Linked DNA regions of Cricetulus griseus. The protein of the gene in region 1 purifies or fractionates together with the protein of each later gene. This does not show direct contact. Links are inferred from orthologs where the notes say so. Each region holds a gene or a part of one and is shown on either strand. Other genes may lie near its edges. The genes, in order: Dot1l and nucleophosmin.

The links.
Region 2: the proteins of Dot1l (region 1) and nucleophosmin purify together in Homo sapiens (affinity purification with mass spectrometry; 3 studies listed by BioGRID and IntAct, with this or other methods). This does not show direct contact. The link is inferred for Cricetulus griseus from reciprocal best matches to the Homo sapiens genes DOT1L and NPM1.

What each region holds. Positions count from the first base shown.
Region 1 is NC_048598.1:101,545,565-101,561,623, forward strand, and holds part of Dot1l (histone-lysine N-methyltransferase, H3 lysine-79 specific), read left to right. Parts: intron 1-401; coding exon 402-445; intron 446-2,992; coding exon 2,993-3,067; intron 3,068-4,954; coding exon 4,955-5,018; intron 5,019-6,745; coding exon 6,746-6,974; intron 6,975-9,359; coding exon 9,360-9,454; intron 9,455-9,893; coding exon 9,894-9,956; intron 9,957-14,051; coding exon 14,052-14,107; intron 14,108-14,687; coding exon 14,688-14,767; intron 14,768-16,059. UniProt on the Homo sapiens protein: Histone methyltransferase. Methylates 'Lys-79' of histone H3. Nucleosomes are preferred as substrate compared to free histones. Binds to DNA.
Region 2 is NC_048600.1:48,339,037-48,355,565, reverse strand, and holds the start of nucleophosmin, read left to right. Parts: upstream 1-6,301; 5' UTR 6,302-6,417; coding exon 6,418-6,475; intron 6,476-7,934; coding exon 7,935-8,014; intron 8,015-8,417; coding exon 8,418-8,537; intron 8,538-8,743; coding exon 8,744-8,837; intron 8,838-9,105; coding exon 9,106-9,212; intron 9,213-9,301; coding exon 9,302-9,363; intron 9,364-13,032; coding exon 13,033-13,090; intron 13,091-13,311; coding exon 13,312-13,395; intron 13,396-14,491; coding exon 14,492-14,593; intron 14,594-16,416; coding exon 16,417-16,491; intron 16,492-16,529. UniProt on the Homo sapiens protein: Involved in diverse cellular processes such as ribosome biogenesis, centrosome duplication, protein chaperoning, histone assembly, cell proliferation, and regulation of tumor suppressors p53/TP53 and ARF.

The DNA.
Region 1 (16,059 bases):
GCTCCCATGGCCACTGGCCGGCCCAGGGAGGGTAGGAGCCCTGCACCTACTTCCTTTCGTCATTCTTCCCTCTGTGGCTTTTTGTCAGTGTAATTGGCATCTGTGGGCTTCATCTCATGTTGGCAGATTGAGATCTGGCCTTGCGTGGTCATGCTGGGGCAAGGCTTGATTTCAGGCATAACACAGTGCTGGCCAGTGGTTGTAATGTTGGGGTCACTGGCCCGATGGGACTCTGCAGGACTTGCCAACACCTGTTGTGTTTGCAGGGGGAACAAAGCTCTGAGTCAGTCCCCAGCTGTGGGGAATCTGGGGTCCAGGCCCTGGGAGTGTGCATCTCAGAACAAGAGGGGGTGTCACTGTGTGCTTGCTGGGGACTGACTCTGCAGGGTTTTCTCTTTCAGGACAAGCACCACGATGCTGCTCATGAGATTATTGAGACTATCCGGTGAGTGCTGCATGGGGTGTGTGGGGAGGGTATGGGAGGGTGGTAAGCTGCTTCCTGAGGTTCACAGCACTTCTACTTTGCTGTCTTCACTGGGGCTTCCTCAGTAGTGAGTAGTGTAGTAGAAGGAGGGGCCCTGGCAGAGACATCAAGCTTCAGGGCAGCCTGCCTCAGCCCTTGCCACACATTGCTTGTCAGAGAAAACCTCAATTGTTTGTTCCCCTGCAATGGCAGGGATGAGCCAGGTCTCATGTATAGCTTCTGAGCTGCAGCCTCCTGCGAGATGGAACTGGAGCGTCTCTGTGTCTCCCAGCTTCCTTCACTAGTCCCCAGCTTTGGGTGGATTAGAGAAAGACAGGAGTTTGTGAGGTCTACTAAGGTCTGATGTTGCTGGGGGGCGGGGGGTTGCTCTATTCTGATACCTACAGAGGCGTGATGCCAGGGAGGCTGCCTGCTGGGAGGGCTCTGCTGTCCTTCTTCTGGATCTTCTGCCCTCTGAGGCTCTTGAAATCCTGGGCGTAGACTAGTGTGAGAAAAGCCCTGTGGACCACAAAGCCGAGACCCTGGACTCAGGGTTAGATTGCCATTGGGTGCTTGGAGGTAGGGATGGCAGTGCTGCAAAGGGCCAGTGAGTTGGCTGAGCGGGTACAGCACACTTACTGTGCTAGCCTGAGGACCTAAGTTTCATCCCTAGAAGCCTTGTAGGGATGGAAGGAGAAGACTGTCTGCTGGTGTCCTCTGACCCTGCATGTTCTGTGTACCCGTGTCACTCAGTTGTGCTTGTACATCCACAGGTGCATATGTGCACAGTTCCACCCCACCCCACCCTAGCCCCATACACAAAAAAGAACTAAAAGATGTTTAAGAGTCTGGCAGGGAAGGCTGAGACATTTTTGCAGGTTGAGGTGGGGGCTGCAGGTGAAACAAAATCACATTAGGGAGAATGGATGGGATGTGCGCAGAGACAAGATAGTCTGGGATTAGGGCTGGCCTCTGGGCAGGTGGGGACCCCAGCAGATAGACCTAGTAGCATCTCCAGAACCACTTGTTTGCAGTTGTTAGGACAAAAGCCTGGCTTCTGCAGCCCAGCAAGCTGGGCTGGGGCAGCCACTGTGCATGTCAATCATAGTGATGCTGAAAGCAGAGCAGCAGCCTGGGAGCTGGCCTTGTGGGTAAATGAGGACCTGAGCTAAGATCAGATCCCTAGAGCCTACCTAGACAGACATGGCAGCATGGGTCTGCGAGCTCATGGGCCAGGCAGCTTGGTGCAGGTGGTGGTGGTGCATAGGAGACTGTCAGGGTGGAGGGCCGGGGTCCACTCTGTCCTTTACACATAGAGTGATCATGTGGCCACAGACAGACAGCCTGCAGGGTCTGATGTGCTTCATGGTTGACCAGAGGAAGTGTTCCACAATAGCAAGGAAAAAGCCCTACTCCCTAACAACGCCCTCTTCTGTGCTTCCCAAATTCTTCCTCCCCATATCTCCCACGGGAGATGTCATTGGTAGGGAATAGGGATTTTTCTTTCAGTGTAGGACACCCCCCTTTTTATTCTTAAAAATTTTTATCTTAGCACTAGGCATGTTAGCACACAGATCTTTAATACTAGAACTCTGGAGACAGAGGCAGGTGGATCTCAGTGAGTTTGAGGCCAACCTGATCTACAGAGCGAGTGCCAGGACAGCTAGGGCTACACAGAGAAACCATGTCTCAAGTAAATAAATAGATAAACAAACAAACAAATAACTATCTGGTGTATCCTAGGCTAGTCTTGAACATAATAACTATGTAGTCTTGGATGGCCTTGGACCCTTGATCCTCCTGTCAAACCCAGCCTCTCCCCTGACTTTTTTTTTTTTTTTTTTAAATCTTTGTTTTTTGAGACAGGATTTCTCTGTAGCTTTGGAGGCTGTCCTGGAATCTGTAGACTAGATTGGCCTCAAACACAGAGATCTGCCTGCCTCTGCCTCCCGAGTGCTGGGATTAAATGTGTGTGCTACCACTGTCAGGCTCCCCCAACGTTTTTATTATTATTGTGTTTGTAGTTGGTGTATCTGTGTATGCACACATGCCGCAGCACATAGTAGGAGTCAGAGGGCAACTTTGTGGAGTTGATTCTCTCCTTCCACCTTGTGTAGGTCCCAGGATTAAACTTGGGTTCTTGGGTTATGACGCCCACCATTGCTTTTACCTGCAGAGCCATCTTGCCAGCTCCCCTTCCCATTTTTTTTTCTCCTGAGAAAGGTCCCATTATGTACCCCAGTCTGGCCTAGAATTTGGAGTATTTGTGCCTCAGGGCCTCCCACCATTGCTGGGATGGCCAGCTGGTATGTGCCACCAAGCCTGGCTAATATTTTACTTTTTACCATAACATGTGAATTTGTTTCTTTTCCAAGTACCAACACTGTTTGACCTTGGCCTCATAAAAATCCATGTAATTTCTCAGGTGCTTGTCTTTCACACACACACACACACACACACACACACACACGTACGCGCGCGCTCGGAGAAGGGGTCCTAGGCCAGCAGGAGCTCTGTGTTCTATTTTAGGTGGGTCTGTGAGGAAATCCCGGATCTCAAGCTGGCCATGGAGAACTACGTCCTGATCGACTATGATACCAAAAGGTGAGGAGGAAGGGAGTAAGTGGGCTCTGGGCAAGGCTGTCCCTCTGGACTGCCCACACCCTGTTACCGTCTGTGTACACTTGTAGGAGTGTCTGCTGTGGAGTGAGGCCATCCCTGGGAACTCCACACTGAACAAACTTGAGTTGGGAAATGAGCAGGGCTGGTGAGAGAACAGAACAGCAGTCAGTCCTGCCAGAATCTGTCTGGCAGGTGTGGTGAGGCCTCTCCTCCAGGACGGAGTGAGTGGAGAAGAGAAGGCATCCCCAGAATGCTTCCTAGAGTGGGTTTGTCTCCTTTGAGAGAGGCCAGCCTAGACTCCATCTCCTGCTCAGCCTCTCCAGTCTGCCTGCAAAGCCTCGTTTGACCTCTGACCTCATTATTAGAAAGGACTCCTGATATTAGTCAGCCTTGGTGAAGCTGGGTGTGCCCACACACTCCTTGGCACTCTGTCTGTCTGATTGCTTCCTTTTTAAAAGATTTAATATGGCTGGGTGGTGATAGTGCACTAGGGAGGCTGAGGCCGGTGGATCTCAGTGAGTTCAAGGCGAACCTGGTTGGACAAATCGAGTTCCACAGAGAAACCCTGTCTCAAAAAACCAAAAAGAAAAGAAAAAGATATTATGTATTTTTTACTGTGAGTTTGAACATTTGCCTGCTTGTATGTCTGTGTATCTATCATAAGTGAACAGTACCCACAGAAGTCAGAAGAAGGTGTTGGGTCCCCTGGAACTGGAGTTACAGATGGTTGTGAGCCACCATGTGGGTGCTGGGACCTGAACCTGGATCCCTGTGAGAGCAGTCAGTGTTGAGTTGCCTCTCCAGTCCTAATTCTGCTGTCTTTTCATTTGTTCCTTCCTTCCTTCTTTGTTTTGCTCCTCCCTCCCTCCCTCCTTCCCTCCCTCCCTTCCACCTTCCCTCCTTCCATTTCTTTCTTGGAGACAGGGTCTCACAGTGCAGCCTTGGCTGCCTTGAACTTGTCAGGTGACCAGATGATCTGCCTCCGGTTAGAGGTGTGGCCAGCACACCCCAGCCTGCTTTCTCACACACTCTTGTAGCTTGTTTGGCTGGACCCAGGGAAGTTTCCCTGTTCTGAAACAATGCTGTTTAGAAGGAGGGCAGACCTCAAGAGGCCCTGCGGGGACAGAACCCTCTGGTTGCTGCCGCGCCTGGGTGGGATGTGGGTTTCTGTGTAAGGGCCTCTACTCCATCACCCCTTTAGTCTCTGTGTGTATATTTGAGCAGCATACTCACCTCCTGGAGGACAGAGAAACCTGGGTAGCTGTCACCTTCCACCTTGTTTGAGACAGTCCCTGTTGCACATGCCACACCTGTCCCCTTTGTCTTAGAAGCACAGGTCCTCAGATGCCTGCCCCTTTCCAGTTTTACGTGGATTCTGAGGATTTGAACTCAGGACCTCAGAGTCGACAACAGGCACTTTAGCTGCTGAGCCATCTCCCCAGTTCTAGCTCAGTCTTTTTTGGGGGGTGGGGTTCTAGACAGGGTTTCTCTGTGGCTTTGGAGGCTGTCCTGGAACTAGCTCTTGTAGACCAGGCTGGTCTCGAACTCACAGAGATCCACCTGCTTCTGCCTCCCGAGTGCTGGGATTAAAGGTGTGTGCCACCATCGCCTGGCTAACCCAGTCTTCATAGTGACTTGCTCTTTTAGTTTCTCATCTAGTGACACGGTCTGACCATGGAGTTGACACATGGATATAGACCCAGTCAGACTGCCCTAGCACTTGGTCCTGTGGCCAAGGACTGTCTCAGCATGAAGCCTCTGGTGCTTCTGGGATCCCATGCCTCCCTGGAGGCTTTGCCCAGCCCTACCTGTCTGTAAAAGCTGGGTATGCTGCAGCCCACTAATGCTCCCTTTTGTTTTTTTTCTCAGTTTTGAAAGCATGCAGAGGCTGTGTGACAAGTACAACCGAGCCATCGACAGTATCCACCAGCTGGTAGGTAGCTCCCCACTTTCCAGGCTCTCCACTCCCCAGTGGGTTTACATGGTGCCTGCTCCTGGGCCTCCCAGGGTGGCCCAGCACTAGGACCTCTTGGTGGCTGTGAAAGTGGTAGAGAGGGCAGCTGGCACAGTGAGGCATGGGAGTCAGGTGGCAGCAGGTAGAGCCCCAGCTGGCCCCAAGTGGCTTCCTCAAGTAGCTTCTTCAGGTCAGTCTGCTCTGCAGACCCTTCCATCTCTGCCTATCTGCCTGCATGCTGCAGCACAGGGGCAAGTAGTCAGCATTCTCCCGAGCTGGGAGCCAGCCTCCTTCTGCCCTGCAGCTGGCCCCCAGCCTCGGGCCTCTCTCTGACATAGTCTAGTTAGTTCTACCTGTTTGGGGAGAGGGGTGTTCTCCCCCCAATAGAGCCTCATAACAATGTGCCCCACCTCCTGGGGGGTGTATCCTCACAGTAGGGTCTTATACAGCTGTGTTCCACCTGCTGCAGGGGTGTTCTCACAGCAGAGCTGCATAAATGTGTACTCCACCTGCCCACCTTAGCTGACAATCTGGATGCAGGCAGCAGAGCTCAGCAACTGTGCACCCAGGGAGTGCTCTTTCTAGAAGGCACAGGGGTCTCTGGCATTTTAGCAGGTGTTGGGCCACTGTGGGGTTCTGTGGTGTCAGGGAATTCTCCTGTGGAAGATGGGGCTGTGTGGAGAGACTGGGCTAGCACAGGGTCACTTTGTGGCTCCTTGAACTAAGACACTCATGCAGCTCTTCAGTGATGGCCCACTGGGCACTGGTCCTGCCATTGCCACTATACCATGGGGACACCAGCTGAATTAGCTGCATTAGGGCTCCTGTGGGGCAGCAAAAGAGGCTTGGTGACTGGCCCCTTCAGCTGGGCTGTCCTGTCCTGTCACATCTTATCCTATTGCTATGGCTAACAGAGTGTCCATGGCCATGAAACCAAGGGGTAGAGCCCTTCTCTCCTGAGGGAATTATTCCTTCAGTCTGGTGGCTCAGATCAGTAGATGAGTGCCAGGGCATACCACTTGCAGGGCCAGCCTGACAGTCAGGAGTCTGCAGCTAGCTCTTCACTGCTTTCTTCTTGTGAACTTGAATTAAAGACCCTGTCCCAAGGCTAGAGAGTCCAAGGTATGTCCTGGAATGATGCATACCTGCCAGGAAGCCTGGAGTCAGGAGGGGCTTCTGGGACCCCAGGGTTGGGCCTAGGCCATGAGGCTTATGAAGTCTAGTCAGAGTTGACCTTCATATGAGTAACCTAAATGGAGTACATGAGTTTGTGTGGAAGGGTCAGACAGAAGCCTGGCATGCCAGAACTGGCTCTGTGCATTTGTAGGAACACTCACGCTGCTGTGCTTTTCTGTATATGGTTTTCGGGATGTATCCAGTGAGCCACACTCCAGCCCCCACCTTTTGTGTTTATTTGTTTTGAGACTGTGTAGCCCCAGTTGTCCTGGGACTAGCTCTATAGACCAGGCTGGCCTTGAACTCAGAGAGATCTGCCTGCCTCTGCCTCTCTAGTGCTGGGATTAAATGTGTGAGCTACTACCACCTGGCAACCTTTTGCATTTTTGATATAGGATCTTACTTCCTATGTGGTCTATGCTGGCCTTGGACTGCAGTGTTCCCCTGCTTCAGCCTCCCACGTTGTGGGTGTCAGCCAGATGCTGCTGGCTGCGAAGAGTGTAATGGGTCATGTCCACTCTTGTTCCTAGTGGAAGGGCACCACACAGCCCATGAAGCTAAACACTCGGCCATCTAATGGACTCCTGCGGCACATCCTGCAGCAGGTGTACAACCACTCTGTAACTGACCCCGAGAAGCTCAACAACTATGAGCCCTTCTCCCCTGAGGTGTACGGGGAGACCTCCTTTGACCTGGTTGCCCAGATGATTGACGAGATCAAGATGACCGAGGATGACCTGTTTGTAGACCTGGGCAGTGGTGAGTGTCTTGTAGCACAGCCTTCGAGCTGTCCTTGGCTCTCTCAGTGTACCCATGGCTGCACATGAGTGCTCAGGGAGGGTAGCGGCTGAGCTGAGGCTCCTGGCCATCAGTGCTCCTGCTCAGGGCTCTCACCTAGGGCCCTCAGCCCTGCTGGCTCTGTACAACCCTGCACCCTCTTAGGGGCCCCTGGGTCTTGGCTTGTGTGACCAGTGTTCCTGAGGCCTCTGGTCACACTCTGTGCAGCCTCACAAGTGATACACAGCAGGGCTTCTGGGCTGCCTCTGTGGCTGGCTATGGTTCTGATTGTATCCACTTTTCTTGGGGCAAGTCTTAGTTAGGGTTTCAGTTGCTTCAATGAAACACTGTGACCTAAAGCATCTTGGGAAGGAAAGGTTTTATTCAGCTTATACTTCCACATCACAGTTCATCATTGAAGGGAGTCAGGACAGGAACTCAAGCAGGGCAGGATCCTGGAGGCAGGAGTTGATGCAGAGGCCGTGGAGGGTGCTGCTTACTGGCTTGCTCCTCATAGCTTGCTCACCTGCTTTCTTTCTTTCTTTCTTTTCTTTTTCTTTTTTTTTTTTTTTTTTGGCTTTTTCAAGACAGGGTTTCTCTATGGCTTTGGAGGCTGTCCTGGAACTAGCTCTTGTAGACCAGGCTAGTCTTGAACTCACAGAGATCCCCCCTGCCTCTGCCTCCCGAATGCTGGGATTAAAGGCGTGCGCCACCAACATCCGGCGTGCTCACCTGCTTTCTTATAGAATCCAGGATCTGCAGTCCAGGGATGACACCATCTGCAATGGGCTGTGCCCTCCCGACCCATTAATAACTAATTATGAAAGTGTGCCAGGCGTGGTCGCACACGTCTAATCACAGTGCTTGGGAGGAAGAGGGAGGAAGACCTCTGAGTTTGAGACCAGCCTGTTCTACAGACCAAGTTCCAGGACAGTTGGGGCTATACAGAAAAACCTTGTCTTGAACCCTCCACCCTTTCCCCCAAAAAAGAGAAAAGAATAAGAAAAGCCCAATGTCCCACAGGCTTGCCTGCAATCTAATCTTTTTTTTTTTTTTAAGATTTATTTATTTATTTATCATGTATACAGCACATGCCAGAAGAAGGCACCAGATCACATTATAGATGGTTGTGAGCCACCATGTGGTTGCTGGGAATTGAACTCAGAACCTCTGGAAGAACAGTCAGTGCTCTTAACCCCTGAGCCATATCTCCAGCCCGCAGCCTGCAATCTAATCTTATAGAAGGTTTTTTTTCTTTTCTTTTTTTTTTTTTTTTAGTTTTTTTTTCCTAAAAAAAGCACTTCTTTTTAAAAATGTGTTTATTTTGTATAGTGTTCTGTATGTATATATCCCTTCAGGCCAGAAGAGGGTTCCATATCTTATTACAGTAGGTTGTGAGCCACCATACGGTTGCTGGGAATTGAACTCAGGACCTCTGGGAGAGCAGTTAGTGTTCTTAACTGCTGAGCCATTTCTCCAGCCCGGAAGCATTTTCTCAATAGAGACTCTCTCCTTTCAGATGACTCTAGCTTGTGTCAAGTTGACTTAAAACTGTCCAGCACAGGTCTTGTCTCCTGTACCTCATGGGGTGTGAGGTAGAGGCTGGAAAATGCCCAGCTACACCCTCCAGCTCTTTTAGAAGCTGAAGGTGAAGCCTCCTGGATCCCTCTCAGTGCCCTGTAGCTTTGGGGCTCACATTCTCTACCAAACTGTACAGGTTATGCCTCCTTGCCTGGCCCTGTGTCTCCTGAGGCACTGTGTGTCTTCTGGCTTCTCTGCCCTGTAGTTCTGAGCTGCTTGTTACTGGAAAACACTGTCGAGCTTAGAAAGTCAGGTGGTATGTGCTTGCCATCTGAAACATGGAACTGGCCTGCCAAGTGGAGGGTCACCTTCAGATCCTCGACCCTCCATGGCATGAAGTGGTATTGACTGGCCTAGCTTCCCTGCACAGGGCCTGCACGTGCCTGTCGCTGGCAGTTATAGCCTCTGCATTTCTTGTTTGTTTCCCATCCCCGAGCATACCTGTTAGGTCAGGATGCTTGCTGCCCTGACTGGCTATATCTGTCTGTGCCACAGCAGGACCAAGGGGTGACTTAGGCCAAGAATTGCCTTTGTGGGGACTGCTAAGCCTTGTGCATCTATCCCCACATAGAGACAGCCAGGCCTTGCTAACTGCAGAGGTAGAACTGGCAGGTTACAGGTTCATAGATTGCATTGTGGGTAGTAGAGTGGCGCAGACACCCTCTGGTGGGAGGTCTGTGCCTTGATGATGGCCTCCTCGCTGATGCCAAGGGACATTGTTATATGGCTGAGGCTGTGTTTCTATGGAGGCCACAGAGACTCTGACCTATGTCTCTCTGGCTGAAGGTGTGGGGCAGGTTGTCCTTCAGGTTGCTGCGGCCACCAACTGCAAACATCACTACGGAGTGGAGAAAGCGGACATCCCGGCCAAGTACGCGGAGGTGAGCGACCACACGTGTATGCTGCTTGGGGCTTCTGTAGGGTGCAGCTCCTTCAAGCCAAGGGTGTCTGTGTTTATGACACCCAGCACCTTCCAGCAGAGTGCCTGTGTCCCTGGCAGGCTCTGCAGAGCTTCATGATGAGCGTGCCTTGCTGTCCTGGAAAAAGGATGGTGCTGAGCTTCTGAGTTGAGAGGACGCACATATCCCCTGGATGTCCCCCATCTGTTCCTCCCAGGGTGGCTGCAGAGGGTGATCTTGGTGCTTTGTTGGAGGGTTGGGAACCCCTCTTCTGGGTACCTTCCACCACTGTGTGCTCACAACAGGGCTGCTGTAGATAGATACCAGTATTTTGTCTCATGTGATTCTGCAGAGCCTGTGGACCCTTCACCACCTCTGCCTCCCTGAGTTTATAACAGGTCATGTGTTTTGTTTCCCTCAGACCATGGACCGAGAGTTCAGGAAGTGGATGAAATGGTATGGAAAAAAGCATGCAGAATACACAGTGAGTGCCATCGCTCCATGCCCGCGGCCTCCATCCCAGTCCAGCCCTTTTTCCCATCCTCTCTTGACCCCAATCAGTCTTGATGAATGACCATATGGCCCTCTGTGGCAGTGGGCACAGTCTCTGGAGCTGGCTGCTGAGCCCTGATCTTCTTGCTCCCCTGGTCTGGGCACCATCTCTAGACAACATGTGCTGACTGCGGGCTGTGGTAGCAGATACTCAGCTCTACTGAGCTGAGACCTCAAGAATGGGCAAAGTGAACCCCTGCTGAGCTGTACCTGGGTGTAGCCTGTGCGTTAGGGGTCAGGACCCTTGGGTTCTTGATGTGGAGATTTGTTTAGGCTGGCCTGTGGACTGGCTGGGAGGGTCAGGCAGCAGTGACATCCTGTGGTGCCTCTGTGCTACGGGCAGTGGAATGGAACGGTCATGGCCCCGCCTTGGTCTTCATCTGTCATCCTTCCTGCAATTACCCCAACTCACTAGTGCTTTCTTGGTGAAAATTTGCCATGCATGAGGGTCTCGGGAATCTGTTAGGAGAGAGGCCCACTTGACACCTGTGTCTAGGACCCAGGAGATGGGTCCAGATTCTTAAGACTTTGTCCTTTTCATCTTTAACTGGTGGGGCCTGTTGGTTCCACACCCATGTAAAATTCTCAGTCAGGGACACACCTTTCAGGAAGACCCTACCCCATCCTGAGTGGCCTCCTGGTCATTTCCTCTTCTTCCTTAGCTTATCATTGTTAGATGACCTGGCCTATATGGTTGAAGTCAGTGGTGTGGCTGGTAGCAGTTTGCCATGTTGGCTGTTGTCACTGTCAAGCCCTCATGGGCCTCAGTGCTCATGCTGGTGGCCCTTGGCTTGTGGTGGGGAACAGGGCTAAGGCAAGAACAGTTCTTGAGGCCTTGGAGACCATGGGAAGCAACCTGGCAGTAGGAATAGAAAACGGTGATTGGCCTTTGTGTCCACTCTGGCTTCCCACAGCACCTTGAGTGACCATCAGCCTTTTCTAGGAGGCTGTGTAGGCACCTGCCTGGCCTGTGCAGTGCTACAGCTTTGATTTGCAAGCTATGAGCCTTGCCCTCTGCTGTTTAAAAGCATGCAGAAGAAAAGCCAGGGGAGCCTAAAAACAGCCCAGAGGACTTTGCCTGCTTTGTACCAGTGATGCTGCTACCCGCCACCCTCCACTTCCCTACATGCAGCCAAGTCTGCTGACGTGCTCCCTCCAATGGCTGAATCTAGTCTGGCTTTTCCGAACCCATAGCTGCTCCTGGCAGACCTTCCCCCCATCCTTCAAGGACCCTAAACCGGCTTGGGGCAGATTCTGGGCCACACTCCTCCCTGCTGGCAGTGCCTCCTAACATTCCCAGGCTTGGTGACGTCATGTGTTCACATGTGCCTGTCTTCCCATCAGCTGGCAGCTGGGGTTGTGCAGCTTTGTTAGTGAGTTTCTTTCTCAGACGGTTCTGGGTGCTGGGACTCCTGACCCTTTGTAAGCAGTTCCTCTCAGAGGGGTTTGTGGGCTTTGACCCCTGACCCTGGAAGAATAGAGTAGCCTATGACTCCTGGGATGCTGGCTACAGCTTGCTAAGGTGTCCCATGGGCAGCCAGTACTGCTGAGGCGTGCTCATGGGACATGTATCTGAGACTGCGTCAACAGGCCTTAGCTGTCTCTGCTCACTTGCACTCAGACTGAGCTGATGGGTTCTTGAAGTGACTGAGTCTATGGCTGACTGTGACCCCATGAATCTCACCCGTGGTCACCTTTTCTGGCCCTCCCCAGGCTTCTGTGGGGCCTGTGTCAGTCTTCCCCACTTGCTTCATGGATACTGGCCAGCTTCATGTGCCTTCCCTCCCCTCTTGCTTTTTCCATGTTGGTAGGTGTGGCTGTGACATTGTTTCTTGGGGGGATGTGAACAGATGTTTCCCAGATAGGGAATCCATAAAGCCCAGCTTGGAGGATTCTCGAGTTTGACAGGGGCTCCTTATAGGAGGTTGGGTGTGCAGTCACTTAATAGAAACAGTAGTGACTCAGTGACAACTGCATCATCAAGGCCCACCCCAGCATGGGTGACAGCTCAAAAAGTGGGAACCTGGAGTGCACTAGACAGCCTACAGGCAGCACAGCAGGCTGGAGAGCATCCTTTCCAGTTGGCTCAGTAGACCTGAGCCTCTTCCCCAGCAGCCTGGCTGGTGTGACTGTTTCTCAGCAGTCCTTACTGTTCAGAGAAGCCTGGGGAGGGAGGGCCTTGCTCCCTGCGGGGTGAAGTGTATGGAGATTTCCTACACAGTAGCAGACACCTTGCTTCAGGCCTGGCTTCCATCCCAGGCCAGACAGCCAGGACTTTTGAGTTCCTTGCCACAGACACAGATAGTGCAGCTAGCTGGCTCCCCAGACTTCATGACCTGGTTGGCAAGGATAGCACTGGGGCCTGGCTGTAGCGGGAGGAGTGCTGGCTCCACACATGACACAGCTGCAGGGTGAGGTCTGTTCTGGACGGGCCTGCACAGGCCACAGCAGGTACCCATCAGATTCTTGGAGCAGAGCCAGCCCACAGCAGTTTCTGTCTTTGTAGCCATGTTGCAGACCACAGCAAAGGCACACAGCAGAGCCAATAAGGCCATCGGGACTTGCAGAGCTCTTCCTAGCAGTCTCAGGGTATTCTCATCCTTAGATGCAGAGACCCAGTACCTGGGGATTAAGGGGATGTGGCCCCTCTGCTTAGCACATACTCAGCAGCAGGGGTGAGGGGTGTGTGGTCTCTGCTGCAGTGCTTAGCTTAGGAGAGAGTAGGTCTCCTATGCCCAGGTGTTGCCCTGCATTTGAGGGCTGACTGAAGCTTCTGTCCCCAGGCCTGGCTGGTGTATAGCAGAGTAGAGTCAGAGATCTATGAAGCGGGGCTTGGCCTGGGGTGGGCTCAGGGTCTGTTCTGCCTACAAGGCTATGGTCACCCTAGCCCAGGTCTGCTCTGCTCACTGGAAGACAGAGACAAACTTGTCCTAGCAGAGTGGGGAGGTGGCTCTGGGCCTGCCCTGTCATCCTGTCGGTCACCGCCGCTGCCCCCCACCCCCTTCCCACAAGCCTCTGATACTCAAATCCACTTCTGGTCAATGTATTTGCCTGTTGTACCCCACACTGTGTGGCCTCCAGTGCATCAGTCTTTGCTGCTCCTGTTCATTGCCAAGGAGCTTTCTAGCACATGGATGGACTATGCTATGTGTCTATTGTTCATAGATGTCCCTGACTTTTGGACTTTGTAAATAACTAACACCCCCTACCCATCCCCCACCCCCCACCCCGTGACCTCCATGTAGAATGGACTGTTCTTTTCCTGGGACAATGCTTTGAGCTGCAGCTGGTGGGTGGTCTGCAGAACTCAAAACCTAGATTGCTTGGTCTCTAAATGTAGTCAGCTGTTTCCCACTGGTGGTGGCGCACGCCTTTAATCCCAGCACTCCATAGGCAGGTGGATCTCTGTGAGTTCAAGGCTAGCCAGGCTACAAAGTGAGACCGTCTTGGAAAAACAAAAAAAGAAGAAGAAGAATCAAAAAGCTGTTTCCGTGTAACACACACTGACCTGAAGGAGGTGGATTGACATTGGTGCTGACGGACACTGAGGTCCGGGTAGCAGGGCCACATTCATGGGGTCACTTGTGCAGCAAACATGTACTAACGCAAGGTGCACAGAGGTGATCTCATATGTACACACATATGTACAATGTACAATGATAAGTGAGTGACAGAATGGCTGGTCCCGTCTTCCTGGCCACATAGATACATCTCATGTCTGTAGGGTCTGCAGATGGCCTATGTGATGCTGCTTTTCTTGGGACACACTCTGGGGTTAGAGAGGGCTGGCTGGCCAGGCACATGCACAGTGGTTCCTCACCTGGACCCATACCATCCTCTTGTCTGTCCCGAGAGGGTGTTGCTTTCTTTGTGCTGGGGGTCAGGCCTTACCCTCTGCAGAGCTATCCACTGGCTGTCCACCGTCACCTCACCCCAAGATCCAGATCATCCCATGTCTCACAGCAGCTATGGGGGCTGGGTTTGAACCAAGTAAGCCCGTGAGTAAACGTGTTCCTTTCTTTCTTAGCTGGAACGAGGTGACTTCCTCTCAGAGGAGTGGAGGGAGCGGATCGCCAACACGAGGTACGGCCGGCTGTGGGCCGTGCTGCTGGCTGTGCTGGGGTCTCTGACTGTTGCTCCCCAGATGTGGGTGACTGCTGTGGAGGGTACTGTGGGGTGCTGCTTCAAGAGTGCTGGCCTCTCTCTGGGCCTGAGCCAGCTGCTGTCTCACATGGGATGTGGCAGCTCCTGTGCTACCCTCGTCATGGGGTCTATCGGGAGGAATCTAGGTGTTTGGGGGCTTCACCCCTGTGTTTTCTGTCGAGGGGGAGGGTGGTGCCTACCTGTTGCATTGCACCTGCCTGCTTGTCAGTGTTTCTCTGTGTTCATGCCCTGTGCTTGCCCCGTGTTCTGTGAGTGGTCCTTCCCTGGATGCTGTTGACAGGGAGTGCTTCCAGGAAGCCCGCTTTATTTCCGAAGCGCCAAAATTCAAAACAGGTGTCTTATACCTGTGTCCTGCCCCAGCTTTCCTGCTTACTCTGCTCACCTCAGGTGGGTGGCGGGGAAGGGGGACTGCACCTGGCAGGGACCAGCAGCAGGCTGTGTCCAGGCTGGGACTTGATGTGCACAGCCAGTTTTACTGAACTAAAACATTGTTTTGCAGTGTTATATTTGTGAATAACTTTGCCTTTGGTCCTGAGGTGGATCACCAACTGAAGGAGCGATTCGCAAACATGAAGGAAGGTAACGCAACCCTCCTGCCCACAGGCCTGGTGCCACCACCCTCTCTGGGGGGACCACACAGTTACATCACTCTTCCTTTAGAAGTCCTCAGCAACCTTCCCTATTCATGACGGGTAGTCCTTGGAGGCCCTGAGCCCCGGCTGTTTCCTGGCAGCCTTCCCCAGCCCCTGGGCTGCAAGGCAGAAGTAAGGGCCTGATGGCTGAAGGCCCTGGTGCCCCAACATACTCCCAGCAGCCAGCAGATAGGTTGAAGGGCTAACCCAGCTCAGAAGCAGTCTCTTGTGAGCACCCATACCAGGGCCCCTCGCTTGTGAACTTAGGTTCTACCTGCGTGTGTGTTTGTGCCTGTCAGTTTCTTGTGACAGAGAGCTTCAGAATGAGGAATTGCATAGAGCACATGCTGCCCGTTGCATAGGGCCAGGGCAGCCTGTACTATCCACTGCTGTCACGATTCAGGGAGCAGGGACACCCAGACTTTCCGGCTTTTTAGTCTGATTTCCCAGCTCTGCACCTGTCTGGTCACAGAAGTGACAGGTGTCTGCTATGGGGCCTGTCCTCAGCCTCCCCCACGCTTGTAGAGTTAGTTACTTGAGGTGCTGGGGGTGAACCTAGGGCCTTGTATGCTCAGCAGACACTCCCCATGGAGCTTCACCTCTACCTCATTTTCTTTTCTTTTTTCTTTTTTTTTTTTTTTTTTTTTTTTTTTTTTTTTTTTTTTTGTTGTTGTTGTTGTTGTTTTTGTTTTCCAAGACAGGGTTTCTCTGTGTAGCTTTGGAGCCTATCCTGGCACTCGCTCTGAAGACCAGGCTGGCCTCGAACTCACACAGATCCGCCTGCCTCTACCTCCCAAGTGCTAGGATCTGCCTCATTTTCATTCCTATACTACACAGGCTCCATCCTAGACCAAAGCTGCTTCTAAACTCAGTCATAGAATCCAAACTGACCTTGAACTTGATCACAGTGTACACCGCCACATTAGCTACTGCTGCTTTCTCCTCCTCTTCCTCCTCTTCTTTCCTCTCTTCTTCCTCCTCCTCTTCCTTCTCCTTCTTCCTTCTTTTCCTTCCTTCCTTCTCCTCCTTCTGTTTTTTTGAGACAGGGTGTTTCTCTGTAGCCTTGGGTATCCTGGATCTCACTCTGTAGACCAGGCTGGTCTCGAACTCACAGAGATTCTCCCTCTGTCTCCCGAGTGCTGGGATTAAAGGCGTGCGCCACCACCACCCAGCTCACATTAGCTTCTTAATGCTGCCTGTTTGGGGTCAGGCCTTAGCTTTGTGAGTTATCTAGTCCTA
Region 2 (16,529 bases), on another chromosome or scaffold:
ATATATGGGAGGCTGGGAAGATGGCAGGCTGTGTAAGCATGAGGACCTGTGTTTGAATCCCCAGTGTCTACATAAAAATTCTCCCATGCACCTGTTACCCTAGCACTGTGGGGGCAGCTCCAGGTTAGTGAGAGACTCTGTCAAGAGAATAAGGAAGAGGATTAAGGAGTAGGACACTTGGGCTGGAGAGAGGGCTCAGAGGTTAAGAGCACTGGCTGTTCTTCCAGCGGTCCTGAATTTAATCCCCAGCAACCACATGGTGGCTCACAACCATCCCTTATGAGATCTGATACCCTCTTCTGGTGTGCAGATATACATGGAAGCAGAATGTTGTATACATAATAAATAAATAAAATCTTTTAAAAAAGGGAGGACATTGAAAGTCTTCTCTCTCTCTCTCTCTCTCTCTCTCTCTCTCTCTCTCTCTCTCTCTCAATTTAAAGACAATCTTATTTTACATACCAATCCCCGGTCCCTCTCCCTCCAGTCCTGCCAAGCCCCTCACCAATCCCCCCATCCCACTCCCCAGGGAGGGTCAGGCCTCCCACGGGGGCTCATCAAAGTCTGTGACATCATTGGGGCAGGCCCTCCCCAATGTATCTAGTATCCCTCCATAGGGAATGGACTCTCAAAGTCCGTGCACTAGGAATAAACACTGGTTCCACACGCCAGAGGCTCCAAAGACTGCCCTGGTCTCCCAACTGATACCCACCTTCAGGGGGCCTGGTTCATTCCTATGCTGGTTACCCAGCTGTCAGTCTGGGGTCCGTGCACTCCACTCCCACTTGCTCAAGTCAAATGTTTCTGTGGGTTTCCCCAGCATGGCCTTGACCCCTCTGAAAGTCCTTCTTTGGTCATATCTGCACACGCGCGCGCGCACACACACACACACACACACACTTTTTAGAAGAATATAATACACATACAGGAAAAAGCACTGGAAAAGATGCTCACCAGAATCAGGGACCAGGGAAATGGGAATTAAAAACCTAAGATGCACACAAGCCCTCTGGCCTTTCTAGGATGAGACTGTTGGCACGGATGTGCAGGCACTGTTCTCAGATGCTGCTGGGGCTGGGGCAAAGGAGACAACTTTTGAAAATAGTTTGGCAGTTTCTTGAATTTTTTTTTCTTTTCTTTTTTGAAACAGGGTTTCTCTGTGTAGCCCTAGCTATCCTGGAACTCAATAGACCAGGCTGGCCTTGAACTCATAGAGATCCACGTGCCTCTGTCTCCTGAGTGCTGAGATTAAAGTGCCACCACTGCCTGGTCCTTGAAACATTAAGTGTAGATTTTCCCAAATGACTTAGCCTTTCTGTTCCTACGCGCTTATCTAAGAGAAACTGTGTGCCTACATGACCACTGTCTACTGATATGCTCAGAAGGTTTGGGGAGAAAACATTTCTCTTTTCACTTTATTTTTAATTGAGTTCCAGGCTGGCCTCGAACTCACAGAGATCCACTTGCCTCTGCCTCCCGAGTGCTAGGATTAAAGGTGTGTGCCTCGACCGCCCGGTGAATCTGGGCATTTCTTTTCATATTTCTGTAGTCATGTGCTATACAGTTATACAGTTGTCCCTTGGTGCCCACAAGAGATCAACTAGTTCCAGAACTATCCTCCTGCCAATACTCAAATCTGCAGGTGGAAAGATGTATATTAAATAGCATGCCATATGTATATGAAAACTGTTGAAAAAGAGAGTTGGTCATAGGATTCAATTTTTATGCTTTAAAATGTGCTCAAAACTAATAATAAAAACCTGGAATCATAAAAAAGATAGTACATATTCTGTCCTACTCATTGTACCTCAGTATGTTGTATCATACAGAGACATTCAACGTGCAGGCAGGTGGCAGGAGGGCAAGGAGAGCTCAAGTAAAACATGGCTTTCCTTTTGCAAAAAGTAAGAGGTTGTACTTCATGAACATATACTTGCAGGTTTCTGCCCTTTTACTATGAAAGTCCATTTATATCTGTTTGCTTTTCAGGTCTCTGGGCTCAGAGTCCAAAGCAGGACCTCAGGAAGCATTAAAAACCAATTTAAAACAAAACAAAAAAACTAGGGCTGGAGAGGTGGCTCAGTGGTTAAGAGCACTGCGGCTCTTCCAAAGGTCCTGAGTTCAATTCCCAGCAACCACATGGTGGCTCACAACCACCTGTAATGAGATCTGGTGCCTTCAGGCCTGCAGGCATACACGCAGACAGAACCTGTATACATAATAAATAAATCTTAAAAAAAATATACCTAGGCACTAGTCTTTAATCTCACCTTTAACCCCAGTACTTAGCAAGAGGCAGAAGCAGGCAGATCTCTGTGAGTTTGAGGCCAGCCTGCTCTACAAAGCCAGTTCCAGGACAGGCTCCAAAGCTACACAGAGAAACCTTGTCTTGAAAAAACCAAACCAAATCAATCAATCAAACAAACAAACAAACAAACAAACAAACAAACAAAAAAACCAAAACGCCTTCTCTTTCCCCAACACTTCCCACAGCTTCATATGATGTTGTTATCTAATCCCATTTTCTTAGTCACTGTGAATAACAACTCAACAAACATAGGCACACAGGTATCTGTATTGTATGCTGATTCAAACATATACCCGAAAGGGATGCAACCAAATCACTGTAAATTCAATTTTGAGGAACCTTCAGATTTCTTTAGTGTTTCTACTAATTCATGTTCCCACAAAATATATGTACATGTTCATTTTGCCAACATCTAAACCTGTAGTAAGTTTTCTTTTCTACAGTAGATATTCTAACTGGGGTTAAGAGGCCCCCATTGTGATTAGATTTGTATACCCTCAATGAATAATGATATTGAGCATTTTCATATATTTATGATTAATATTTTTCTTTTGAGAAATATCTATTTCTCATTTTGACTAACTTATCATTATTAAGGTCTTTAGTTATATTTTAGAGATTTGTTGTTTGTCTGAGGAATAGCTGGCAAGCATTTTCTTTCATTCTGTGATGTGTTTCTCCGCTCTGGTAATTGTGTGGCCTTTGCTGTGCAGAAAATATTTATTTTGCTGTCAGTTCTGTACAAGTCCATTTTTGAGATTATTATCATATTAAGCTGTGTTAGGGTATTCATAAGGATATGTGTACAAAGATACTAAGGTACAATTTGACTATATTCTTTTTTGGGGGGGCAGGTTTTGAGGCAGGGTTTCTCTGTGACTTTGGAGGCTGTCTTGGAACTAGCTCTTGTAGACCAGGCTGGTCTTGAACTCACAGAGGTCTGCCTGCCTCTGCCTCCTGAGTGCTGGGATTATTTTTATTTTACTATTATTATTTTTGTTTTTTGAGACATTATATTATATATGTTTCAATTTGCATAGGCCTATATAATTGCAATGAAAAAGACAATAAACATTCTTTTATGGCTACCTTAAAAACACAGGTTTTGCTTATTTTTTTGAGACAAGGTTTCTCTGTGTAGCCCTGGCTGTCCTGGAACTCTGTAGGCCAGGTGGCCCAAAACTCAAGAGATCTACTTGCCTCTGCCTCCCAAGTGCTGGGATTAAAAGCATGCACCACCATTTTAAGGCTGGCTTAAAAATACATTTTTAACAAATGTAACACAAAACATAAAAGACCCAGAGACTGATATTGGGGTTCAAACTTCAAGCTGAAAAACAGAAAAGCAAAGTAGTGGGCCACTACCTCAGGCTGAATGGGCTGATCCTGCTGCCTCTCCTCAGCATGGCTTGAGAATCCTCAATATGGATGGAGAATGAATGCTCCTATTTTCAGTGTGACTGGAGAATGAATGTTTAATACTGAGACCTTGATCCTGTGTTTTATATACCTCACTAATGTTGGGATTAAAGGCGTGTGATCCCAGGTGCTGAGATCATCTTTGTGTGAGCTGTTTATCTTGTGTAGATCTGGGTGGCCTTGGACTCACAGAGATCTGTCTACCTCTTAATCCTAAAATTAAAGGTGTGTACCACCACCTCCTAGTTTCTGGCTGCTGGGAATAAAGGTGTGTGCCTGGCTTCTGTGGCTCATGGCTAACTTTGCTTTCTGAATCCTCAGGCATGCGTTAATAAATCATAAATATTACTACAAATAAACACTTAAAAAAACAAAACAAATCCATGATTCTGATACAGTGTAGGGGTCTTGATTAGGTTTATTTTCTCTGACAGTTAAAGAATTAAAGGCAGGAAAAATCTGAAGTACAACATGTAGCAGCAGAGAACTCTGCAGACAGGATCAGGAAGGTGTTTATTGGTGGTGAGGAAGCCTATGTATGCAGAGACACACAGAGAAAAGACCCTCTGTGAAGCTGGAAAATCCAGCCCCCTGTCCAGGGCTGGGATTTTAAGTCTCTGAAGAGTTTTCCTCCCCTAATTTATGGTTTGTCAGTTTGAAGAAAGTTAGGGCATTTGATTGTTCCAGAACTGTTGTGTGATGTCCTGAGCAGGCCTTGAACTTGTTGAGCCTGTCTGTCAGGAGGAGGCCTGCTGGTGGGAGACAATAGCCTACAAGGCCTTTTGTCTCAAGGTAGGTGGTTAAGGAAAAAGCTGGCCATCTTGGAGATGGCTTTATTATCTCGCCTTAGCCCCTCTCCCTATCGGTCTGCCCAACAGGGAGTCTGTGTAACTCCTAATCCTTCAATCCCATGAGTTTATATTTAGACAAGGTGCCTGAAATGTTGCAACAAGTGTGTTTTCATTAGTGATAGCTCCCAAATAGTTTAGTGTCTGCATTAGATGTGTTTCTTTTGTTTGTTTTTGGAGACAGGGTTTCTCTGTGTAGCTCTGGTTGTCCTAGAACCCGCTCTGTAGACCAGTCTGGCCTTGAACATTTGAGATCTCCCTGCTTCTGCCTCCTGAGTACTGGGATTAAAGGCTTTTCTCTCTCCCCAACCCCCTGCATGTGCTGTGTTTAAATGATCCAGAATCTAGGAAACAATGAAGTAGTTTTTTGACCCGCCCTGGCTCTAAGAACATTCTCCCTCCTAGACTAGAAGCCTTCGAATTTTGAATGGCCAGACTGCTCACTTGTGGTTTTCCCTTTTCCCGTTTATCTCAGTTGCTTACATAGACAGTACTTCCAAGTTTCAGGATTTACTCTAGTAGTTGTAAAGTGGAAATTCACTGGGCCCCATTCACATCTTGAGGCTGATTTTTTCCCCCCCAAATTTAGGATTTGGTTAATAATCTGCTCATACGTTTTATACTCAACTGGTCTTCCCAATTGGACCATCTCTGGAGTAAAGAGTCTGGGGGCATGAATACCATTACTCACATTCCTCCCAGTAACCTTTTCATTTGCTAGCTATGTTGAGATAAAAAGATTAGGGCTGCTCTCAGTACGCACCCAATGTTGAGGGATGTTTGTCGGGACGCAGTTTAAAATGCTATTTCCCAGCCAAAGATTCTAATCAAGGCTCCTGTATTTCTTAGAAGTCATATGCCTTCATTTGGAATGATAAGGATGACCTGCGTGTTCTCAATTCTGCACACACCTCTAAACTTTTAGAAAGGTGCTCTTTGGCCCTCGAATGACGTAAAGCTGAGAACTTAAGACTTTGGAGATGCTGCCTCAGAAAAGAGGTATAAAAAGTATGGCTGATGCCGGGCGGTGGTGACGAATGCCTTTAATCGCAACACTCGGGAGGCAGAGACAGGCGGATCCCTGGGAGTTTGAACCCAGCCTGTGAGTTCCAGGACAACCAGGGCTGTTACAGAGAAACCCTGTGTGGAAAAACCACAAAAAAAAAAAAAAAAAAAAAAAAAAAGGCTGACAAAGTGGCAAGCAGAGAATCATTCTACTAATGATCCGTCTGTCCTGCCTTTGGCTCCTGAAGCTCTATGGGAAAAGGATAAAATAAGACCAAGCCTTCGAGGAGGTCAAATCCTGAGATTATGCCTGTTGCAGGTCTACCGAGAACCGGAGGGCGAAGAACAGCGAAGGGAGTCGCCCGCTGGTTCCCGGCCGGCAGTCGCCATCTTTTAGGGTGGGCTGCGCAGCCTCTCCGCGCAGGGCCCGCGTGGAGAAGCCGAAACGTGGTAGCTTCGGAGGGCTGGAGCGCGTTACAAAGGGAAAGTGCGCCTGCGCTCGGGCAACCGCGCTGGAGGGGCGGGGCCAGAGGGAGGACGCGCGTGCGTAGTGCGAGCCCGCCAAGCACCTGGAAGAGGTGGGGAGGGGAGGTAGAGAGGCGTGGGATAGGACAGCGCTTGCGCAAGAGCGAGACAGTGCGGGAAGTGGGGGATCCGGAGCACGCTCGCGGAGGCGGGACTAGGGCAGATCTCGCGAGATTTGCTGCGGCCATATATACGTGCGGCGAGCCCGCGTCCTTTCCCTGGCGTGATTCCGTCCTGCTTGTCTGTTCTGAGGAGCAGTAGGCAGTTTCCTCCGTCCGATATCTCGCATACCGAAGTGCGCGTCTCCACCTCATGGAAGACTCGATGGACATGGACATGAGCCCTCTTAGGCCACAGAACTACCTTTTCGGTAACTGCCTGGCGGGGAGGGCCTGGGCAGGGCCTGGTGGTTGGGGGGGCGGCGGGAGTCCAGTTGAGGCCTGGCGTGTGCCAAGCGCGGCGTGGGTGGAGGCCTTTGCACGGCTGGGAGGAACCGCCTGGGCCGCGGGAGCCGAAGAAAGCCGAGGCCCGGGCGCTGAGCGGGACCGTAGCTTGGGGCGGCAGCGGCCCAGCCTCGAGCCTCTGGCGTTGAGAGGGCGGTCGGCCGAGGGTGCCAACTTGGCTTGGGGCGCGAGCAGGGGCTGTGACGACACTTTCTCTTCATACGTGAAGAAGGCCTCAGGACCTGGCAACAGGCAGCTGAAATTCAGCGCTGGGCCCCAGGCGCGTCCCGGGATAATGGTGCCTCTGGAGCGCGGCCTGCGCCGCCTCGTTGGGACGGTATAAGTGCAGTCCGCTGGGCTTTACAGGGGCTTCGGCCCCTCCTCCCCGTGCATCCGAGAGGTTCCGCCGCTGACAGGGACTCGGCCGGCCAAGCTCCCTGCGGCTGAGGGGGCCGCAACCCCTGGGAACACGTGGTTGCCACGTGGTTGGGGGTAGGGAGGGGGTGTGGGCTCTACATCCGGGCTCTCCTCACTTCTTAACCCTGGTCCTTCGGGTCCTGTGGTTTAATTAGGAGTGCTAGGCGGGAAACGCGTAAAGTGGCGCGTGGCGTCCGTGTCTTTGTTAAGATCTTGTAGCATCCACGGTGATGGTAGTGACTTTTTTTTAGAGACCCTTTAGTGCCTCTGCAAGAGGTGGAGTCAGCCCCACGCTGCCGATGACGATATTGATGGTCGAAGGGTCTTGATGTTAAGAGAGGGCCACGAAATCTTAAGTCGAAACTATCCTTTTCCCTACAACTGGTCTTTTTTTTTTGATTGGGCCGGGGAAGAGAGAGAAGTGCCTCCCGCGTTTAGCAGATTAAGGGATCACTTTGGTAACTCGGCTTCTGGGGACCCCACTGTCACTGCACATTCAGCTTATCGGTTTTACAGTCTATTAGTTTGGTTTTCAGTGACTCGAGTCAATTTTTTCAAAATTCCGAGTGTTTAAAGCACTTTCCCCTACGTGAATGAGTAGTACATGTTTAATGTACTCTAAGCATGAAGGGTTTAAGCTGTCCCTACTGGTCATGTGTAACCACTGTTGATTTGTAGTAATTTCCTTTAGAACGTAGGTAAGTTGGGTTTTTTAAAAATAGTGCTAGATAATGGTATGGTGCCACTATGCAAAAATCCAGTTTTAGGTCATTGGGTTTTCTGTGAAAAAATGGTAACGGTGCCTCATTAATTGGTCGTGAGTTACTATGAAAAAGTAGAACTTTTATTGGCTTTCTTATACAGTAGATTCCACGGAGAGAACATTTTTAAGTTAAAAGAGTAGAAGTTAATGGTCGTTTGGGACTGTGATGTTCATCTTGCTAGATTTATTTTATTTTTTCTTTACAGGTTGTGAACTAAAAGCTGACAAAGATTATCACTTTAAGGTGGATAATGATGAGAATGAACACCAGTTGTCACTAAGAACGGTACTTAAACTTTGAAATTAATTAGCCATTAGATTTCAGCCACTTGGATCTAAGTGAGGGGATTTATGTCAGTTTGTGCTTCCTTAACTGATGGAAAAATAGTATTTTTATAACTTTAAAATAGTTCACATATGTACTGGTAACAAAGAACTGGGTGTCTTTTCCACAGTCACTGTTATAATTAGTTGTCTAGTAAGGCTCTGCAGGATGTGATCTTTTTAAGTCTGTTGGCTATATTTTATTGGTTGTTTGGCTTTCTTAGGAACATACAGTGTTTTGTGTCTATGCATCTCGTAATTATATGAGAGGACTAGTTATCAGTAGTGAGAAGAGGCTAATTAAAAAATTTAAGGGGTGTTTATAAAACAACTGGGTACTGAAGGATCTTTCTTTTTGTTCACAGGTTAGTTTAGGGGCAGGGGCAAAAGATGAATTACACATCGTAGAGGCAGAAGCAATGAACTATGAAGGCAGTCCAATTAAAGTAACGCTGGCAACATTGAAAATGTCCGTACAACCAACAGTAAGTACATTTGTAAACATTGTTTTTAAAGTTGGTCTCTAAGACTGATTTAGGATAAGCAAAGATGTTTCAAATAAGTTATATCTAGTGTGAGATTATCTCTGTGGCTTCTAGATAGGTTTATTGATTATATAACTCTGTTGGTGATGCTTGGTGCAAAACATTCTTAAAACAATGTTTAATGATTGAAATTTGCTCATTTTTAGGTTTCCCTTGGTGGCTTTGAAATTACACCACCTGTGGTGTTACGGTTGAGGTGTGGTTCAGGGCCTGTGCACATTAGTGGACAGCATCTAGTAGGTATGTTTTTGGGTTTTTAAATCTGGTATTTCTATTAGGAACTGGCTTTTTTTAATATTTGTGTTTTGGCCAGGTTAGAGAAGACGTCTGTTGCCACTACTTGGGTCCTTGGGATTGAATACTGAGGTTTAGCCACAAAGATCTTGTAATTAGATTGGCTATCATCCTAGATCTCCAATATGGACTTTGTAAAAGTTCTTAGTTGTCTTATGCTGAAATAGGAATCTGGTAATGTATAAAAAGATAACACCTGAGTATCTTATTTCAGCTGTAGAGGAAGATGCAGAGTCAGAGGATGAAGATGAGGAGGATGTGAAACTCTTAAGTATGTCTGGCAAGCGATCTGCTCCTGGAGGTGGTAGCAAAGTTCCACAGGTAATTTTTTTTTTTAGGAAATGTTTTTGGTTTCAATATGTTAAATACTAAGGAATGACTCTTTCTCACAAATACATTTTTCTTTTAAGAAAAAAGTAAAAATCGATGAAGATGAGGATGATGATGATGAAGATGATGAAGACGATGAAGAGTAAGTATAAGTTTGTATGGTCTTAGAAACTTGACACACTGCACTGTGAAGGGTTTTAGGAAAATTGATTTGCCCCAATAGTTTCTAAAAGTGACAAAAAGGATTGATGGTTGAAAGTGAAGACACTTGTGCCTGTTAGGTTGTGATTCTTTCAGTGGGACATTGATTTTTTTTTTTGAGTTTAAAATAGGTTAAAATAAGATTTCATGTGTTGTGCCTGTAACAGATGTGAAATGTCTTGACATGAGTTATCTTTGAATATCTTGTTAGAAGTTGTGGAATTGGTCATGTTTTATTTATTGAAAGCATTATGTATGAAGTAAGAACTGTTGAGGAAAGCAAATTTGGGAGTGGGTATTAATATATAGATTAACTAGCAAACTGAATAATGCATGAAAAATGATACATCTATGGTTCCTTTTAGGTAATGTTACACATTACCTAAATACCTTGTATGATAATATCCGGTTATGGATATCTGAAAAGATAACTCATTTTATATATAAATTGGAAGTTTCTGGTTAAGAGAAAGCCTCTTGGGTTCTAAAGCCAGTTTTTGTTTTTTGTTTTATTTTTCTTCGTTTGGCTTTTGCCATAGCAGTTTTATTAATTTTGCTTCTATTGATACAATCACATATTTTATATGTAAGACTGAGGAACATTTTGTCACATAACTGCTTCCTAACTTGTCATAATTTCAGCCTTCCCCTCCTTTATATGGGGGTTTTTATTTTTGATCATGGTACAATTGATCAGATGTATGGTGTGCCTCTTTATTGTAAGTTAATATTTTATTTTATTAGTTCAAATTAGGAACAAGCTTCACATGTCAATCCCTTCTCCCTCTCCTCCCCAACATCCCACCTGCCCCTAGCCATCCCCTCTCCACTCCCCAGGCAGGGTAAGGTCCTCAAAAGGGGCTCCCCATAGTCTACCACATCCTGGGCCAGGCCTAGGCCCTTCCCCCTGTGTCCAGGCCAAGAGAGCATCCCTTCACATGGGATGGGCTCTCAATCCCTTTTTTTTTTTAAGACCTTACATATTTAATACAGTGCGTTACCTCTGTACAAATGGAAAAAAAGTTAAACATTTCTAGACCAATATGGCTGCTAATTTTGTACAATGCCAACTCAGCGCAGTAAACTGGGATACTTTTCCAAAGTTGACAGCACAGCTAAAGTTCCCCAAAATTCAAATTATATATGTATATATATTTATATTTATATAAAAAGACCAATAATGGCAGTATGTTAAAAGCCAGCATTAAAAACTACCAAAAGCGCTGGGCGTTGGGGGCGACCCTTTAATCCCAGCACTCAGGAGGCAAAGGCAGGCGGATCTCTGTGAGTTCGAGGCCAGCCTGGTCTCCAGAGCGAGTGCCAGGATAGGCTCCAAAGCTACACAGAGAAACCCTGTCTTGAAACCCCCCCCCAAAAAAAAACTACCAAAGCATTGGATTTACATGTGGCTTTTGACATCATGGTATAATAATGAGATGATTTCCCACACTACTGAAAAGGTCATTAATATGTGAAGTTCGTGCTTTTCAATTTAATGAGACTAGTGTGGAAATCTGTGGCCAATGTTGGTAGAACTTATAGATTGAATGCAGATATAGTTAAAACTTTGAATTTATGTTTTAGAATTTATTATGCAGTGTTCTGCCTGCAGGCCAGAAGGGGGCACCAGATATCAAGAGAAGGCTTTGGGCCATCATGTGGTTGCTTGGAAGGACCTCTGGAAGAGTAGCCAGTGCTCTTAACCGCTGAGCCATCTCTCCAGCCCCAACTTATACATGTGTACTCAAATATATATACTTAAAGATACTTTAAGTGATTTTACCCTGTAATGTGATTCACTCCCTTTTAAAAGACTTACTGTGTCTGAAGACCATTTTGTACTTACACACTTTAAGCAAATGTCATGTGGATCCAGATCATCTCAGATCTATCTAGATTGTGAAAGTGAGAAGCAGCTCCTTTTTTGAGGTAATAACACTCAAGTAGTTGGAGGTGGATTCTGCTAATTGCAATCTGGCAGCTTAATTCTCATGGCACATAATAAATGTTTAGGGAGAGCCAATAAAGTAAGCCTTGCCAAACACTGCATACACTAGAATGAAAAAAGCAGAAGAGCTTTGATTGTCTCAAGGAAAGGAGAAGCATTAAGACAACAGCTATAGATTCAGAACAGATTAAAAATTTTACTGCAGGTTTGTATTCTGTGCATTTCCTCCCAACAGGCCTTGGCTGTCTTGGGTCTCATTCTGTAGACCATGCCACCATGAACTCAAGAGGCCTCTGCCTCCCAAGGGCTGGGATTAAAAGTGTGCACCTCCCTAGCCAAACTCTTATCTAGTATTCCTTAAGCTGTAGTTAGCTACTTGTGAATTTTGTAGATTGGCCTTTTCAAGGAATTAAGTCATAGAATCCTATTCATTTGTGTGTGACTTAACTGATTTTTGACAGTGATTACATTTTTATGGGCTGAGAATTTCTTGTGGATATGCTGTTGCTGTGGTCATTGTCAGCAGTATATGGAAGTTCTTCAAGTTACCTCTTTAAAGGGTAACATGGGCAAAGCGGTATCATGTTCAGTTTATATTCCCTAGAGGACTAAAATCTTCTCATGTTAAGCTTTTTGGTGGTTGTGAGACAGGATTTCTCAGACTATTGAGGAGGCTGTCCTGGATATCCTGGAACTAGGTCTTGTAGACGAACGAACTCAGATCCACCTGCTTCTACCTCCCAAGTGCTGGGATTAAAGGAGTGTGCTACCACTGCCTTGCTTGTACAATTAACATCTTTGCTCTTATTAAGGGGGTAGCTTAATTTTAAGGAAGCCTGGGTTTTTTTTTTTTGATGCAAAACTTAGGAACTAACTCATCAAATCTGTTAATGAAAATTTGCTTCCAAGTTTTGTAGCTTATTCCTGAGACCAAGTGTGAGACTCTTGGGTTTTTACTTGTGAATATAATTATTTTCTACCTTAGGTTCCTTGAACAACTGAATCCTAATTATCAATAACTACAAATTGTATGTTGGAGTATTGCCGATTTAGCATTATTAACTCCTGATTTATTGAGATACTATTTCCAAAAAACTACATTTCATAACCCTTAGTAACAATAGTATTATGAGTAAGACACTATCCCTTTGAGTAGCTGACTTTTGTTTGCTTTTTTCTTTTCATAATTTTTATTTCATGTGTTCTCACATTTTGCTTATATAAATGTGAAGGTGTCAGATTCCCTGAAACTTAACAAGTTGCCATGTGGGTTCTGGGTGTTTGGACCCAGTTCCTCTGGAAGAGAAAGTAAGCCAGTACTTTTACTAGTGAACCATCTCTTCAGCACCTTGATTTTTCTTTTTAAATGGCTGAGTAACATTTGTTAGATACTTAATTAGGCCTTTTTGTTTTTCCAGGCAGGGCTTAAAGAGCCCTGGCCACTCTGGAACTCAACTTAGTCTGGCCTCAACTCAGATTCACCTGCCTCTGCCTTCAAGTGCCTTGATTAAAGGTGTGCACCACTACCATCTAAATACTTTTTGATCCATTCAAATACTGGTGCTGTTTGTTTGACTTGTCTATTAAATATTGTGATAGAACGGCTGAAGGTAGCTTCTTTCAAATTGAGCAAATAATTAAGTTGGTTTATTTCCTTTATAGTGATGATGATGATGATTTTGATGATGAAGAAACTGAAGAAAAAGTTCCAGTGAAGAAAGTGAGTATATAACATGCCATGGGTGTCAAGATAGTTAATAAGAGATAAGAATTTCTTAGTGTTGATAGTGAAAACTGGCTCATTTAATTTCCTATTAAAATTGGTTTTGAACTAAATAGACTAAACTTTGTAGGTAAGAAATTTTATGTTTATTACAATGGTTTAGGACACTTGTCTACTCTGGAGGGGGTATACTCTTAATTGCATTCTCTTAATTGCAGTCTGTACGAGATACCCCAGCCAAAAATGCACAAAAATCAAACCAAAATGGAAAAGACTTAAAACCATCAACACCAAGATCAAAAGTAAGTACCAAGGTAACAAAACAGATAAACAGACCTAGTTAAGAAAAGTGAATTCTGTGTTAACCTAGCCTGGGGCTGGAGAGATGGCTCAGAGGTTAAGAGCACTGGCTGCTCTACCAGAGGTCCTGAGTTCAATTCCCAGCAACCACATGGTGGTTCACAACCATCTGTTATGAGTTCTGGTGCCCTCTTCTGGTGTGCAGATATACATGGAAGAAGTATGTTGTATACATAATAAAATTTAAAAAAAAAAACCTAGCCTGCCTAAACTTTGGTATTTAAAGAACTTAACCCTGGCTACATAATACATTGTAGTGCAGTACTTTCATCTGAAGAGTGTCATGTTCTGGGGTGGGCTCTAGTATGAGTTCTTGCTTCGTTTGGAGACCTATTGAATTCTGAGTTTTGTTTATAATTTCATAATGGGATTTTTTATGGCTTGTGTGCTTACAAAGGCCAATTAATCTTTGTAGAATTCAGGACAACACAGTTGGAAGATGCCTGTCAGGGTTCCCCCATCCCAAGCATTGATGAAGAAGCTGAAAAGTGTTCCAGGGCAGCCAGGGCTATTAAAAAAAGATGTTTATGGGGCTGGAGAGATGGCTCAGTGGTTAAGAGCACTGCTTGTTCTTCCAAAGGTCCTGAGTTCAATTCCCAGCAACCACATGATGGCTCACAACCATCTGTAATGACATCTGGTGCCCTCCTCTGGCCTGCAAGCAATATGCAGGCAGAACACTGTACATGTAATAAATAAATATTTTTTAAAAAAAGATGCTTATCAGGTTTGGCATCAGGTGCGTTTACGTTAACCTTGAGGTATCTTTCCTGACAATCATTGTTTTAAAAGAATGATCATTTTGGTTGTCTGAGAGTCAGCTAGCTGAGACTGGCTTTCTGACTAGCTACAATCCTCCCTCAGCCTTTGAAAGGCTGAGATTAAAGGCTAGGAACAATCTTAAAATCAGAAAAATGTATAAAGTTACATGTAAAGCAGTGTCTCCATACTTTATCTAGAAGAGATTGTAAAAATAATTGGGAAGTCATAATTATAATTATGAACTGTACTCTAATTGCCTTAATTAACTTATTCCAGGGTCAAGAGTCCTTCAAAAAACAGGAAAAAACTCCTAAAACCCCAAAAGGACCTAGTTCTGTAGAAGACATTAAGGCAAAAATGCAAGCAAGTATAGAAAAAGTGAGTAAAATTACCAATAATGGATTGCTCTTTTCCCTACTATGTATGGAGGGTGGGTAAAAAATAGATTATAGAAATAGGTATATTCATAATCTTGTGCATAGATGGATGATTTTGCTACAATAAAGTGCAAGGATGTATTCTGATTTTAAAGCTTAACATAAGTGAATATTGCCTTTTCTGGGGTTATGCTATAGAACCAGCAGAGGGCGTTTGGACTTTAGTAAAATTAAACTGCTAGAAAAGAAGTCTTTGGCTGCATGAGATTATACCTTTAAAGGATCATTTTTTTTAAGCATTTCCCAGCAATTGAATTATTTCTGTGCCCTCTATACCAAAGTATCCCCAGTCCATGACCTGGAATTTATATACGGACCTGGGGTGTGGAAAATGGAATAGTCAATCCAGTGGTTTTTTTTCCCTTGAAGATTCTCTAAATTGTGATTCTAACATTTGGAACAAATGTGGAATTATAGGAAAAATTGTTCTTTTCAAGTTTTTTCCTGTCCTATAGGCCTCAAATGGTTTCAGGTTTTCTTCCTTTGTGAAGCCACCAATGGATTGGAAATTAGCACTGTAGTGCCAGCACATATTTACACTGTAAACTTTTTAGCTTTCCTGGTGTTGTCACTCACTGATTTATTTTTATCCCTTGCATACACTGCTAAAATGGTGCCCCTCCCCCCCATTTTAATGTGGTCCTATCTCCTTGATTTAATTGCAGGCGCATTGAACAGTCCTGGGCACTACTGGTAAATTAAGCCCAAAGATGGGGAAAGAGGAAAAGGAGAAACAAATATAGCCCATACTGAGTACCATCAACAATCCAGACTGAAGTCTTCTATTTTAATCTCAATCCCCTTTCCTGATTGGCCATCCATTCCCCCCCCCCTTGCACGTTGGAAGCAATCTTTTGTTTTCCTAAAGCATTTTTCTTTTCACTCTTGTGATGCAGAGAACTTTACTGCTTTCTACACTTGTGCATATGCCTCATCTCTGACCATGTTTTTAATACCTTTGTATCCTTAGTTGCTCAATAAATTTTTGAATGAACCAAATAAGGATGTATGTGACAATATTTTAAAATTACTATAGTGACTTATTTTCTAGGTGATGGAGGCAATTGAGTCTCATATTTGGAAGCCTTATTCTTGCTAAATGCATAAAACAGGGTGCAAAACTAAAATTTTAAGTGGTATTACATGAGGGATGATAATTTGTAGTGATAATCTAATTTTTATGCTGATTTAAATTAAGGTAGCTAGGCAATAACTAGTTACCTTATGAATTTGATGACAAATTATTAGGTATTACTGATTGTGAATCATTGCCTACATTCATAATTGGAACAAAATGTCCAATTTGTGCTGTTAGTAAGGGGTTACTATTAACTTCAGTTGGTTTCTAGGTAAATGGTATGGTACCTTAGGTTCTTGGAAAACACTAAGTTTATTATAAGCAGGTATTGAATTTAGTTTTGGGTGATAGAGGGTACTAAAACTATTTGCAGGATATGGGTACTAAAACTATTTGCAGGATATGGGTAGGCACCCCAGTTGGCTGTATTTGCATGCCTGTAGAATTACCTGTAGTTTAAGTTTGCTGTTTTGGGGAGTTGGACATTTAGCAACTGAAAGACTGGTCATAATGTGCTGCCTATTAGGTCTTTCTGGGCTCCAGTGATGACATTGGTATTTTAAAGTAGAGAAGTTGAAGGGACAAGGAATAAATTGTTCATTTAACGGTATATAAATCTTCAGAAATTTTCTAATGGTATTTCAAACAATTTCAATGCTTGTCCTTAATTCTCTTTTCCTCAATAGGGTGGTTCTCTTCCCAAAGTGGAAGCCAAGTTCATTAATTATGTGAAGAATTGCTTCCGGATGACTGACCAGGAGGTAACTGAATTTTCTGTGGCATTAACCAGGATCAAAAT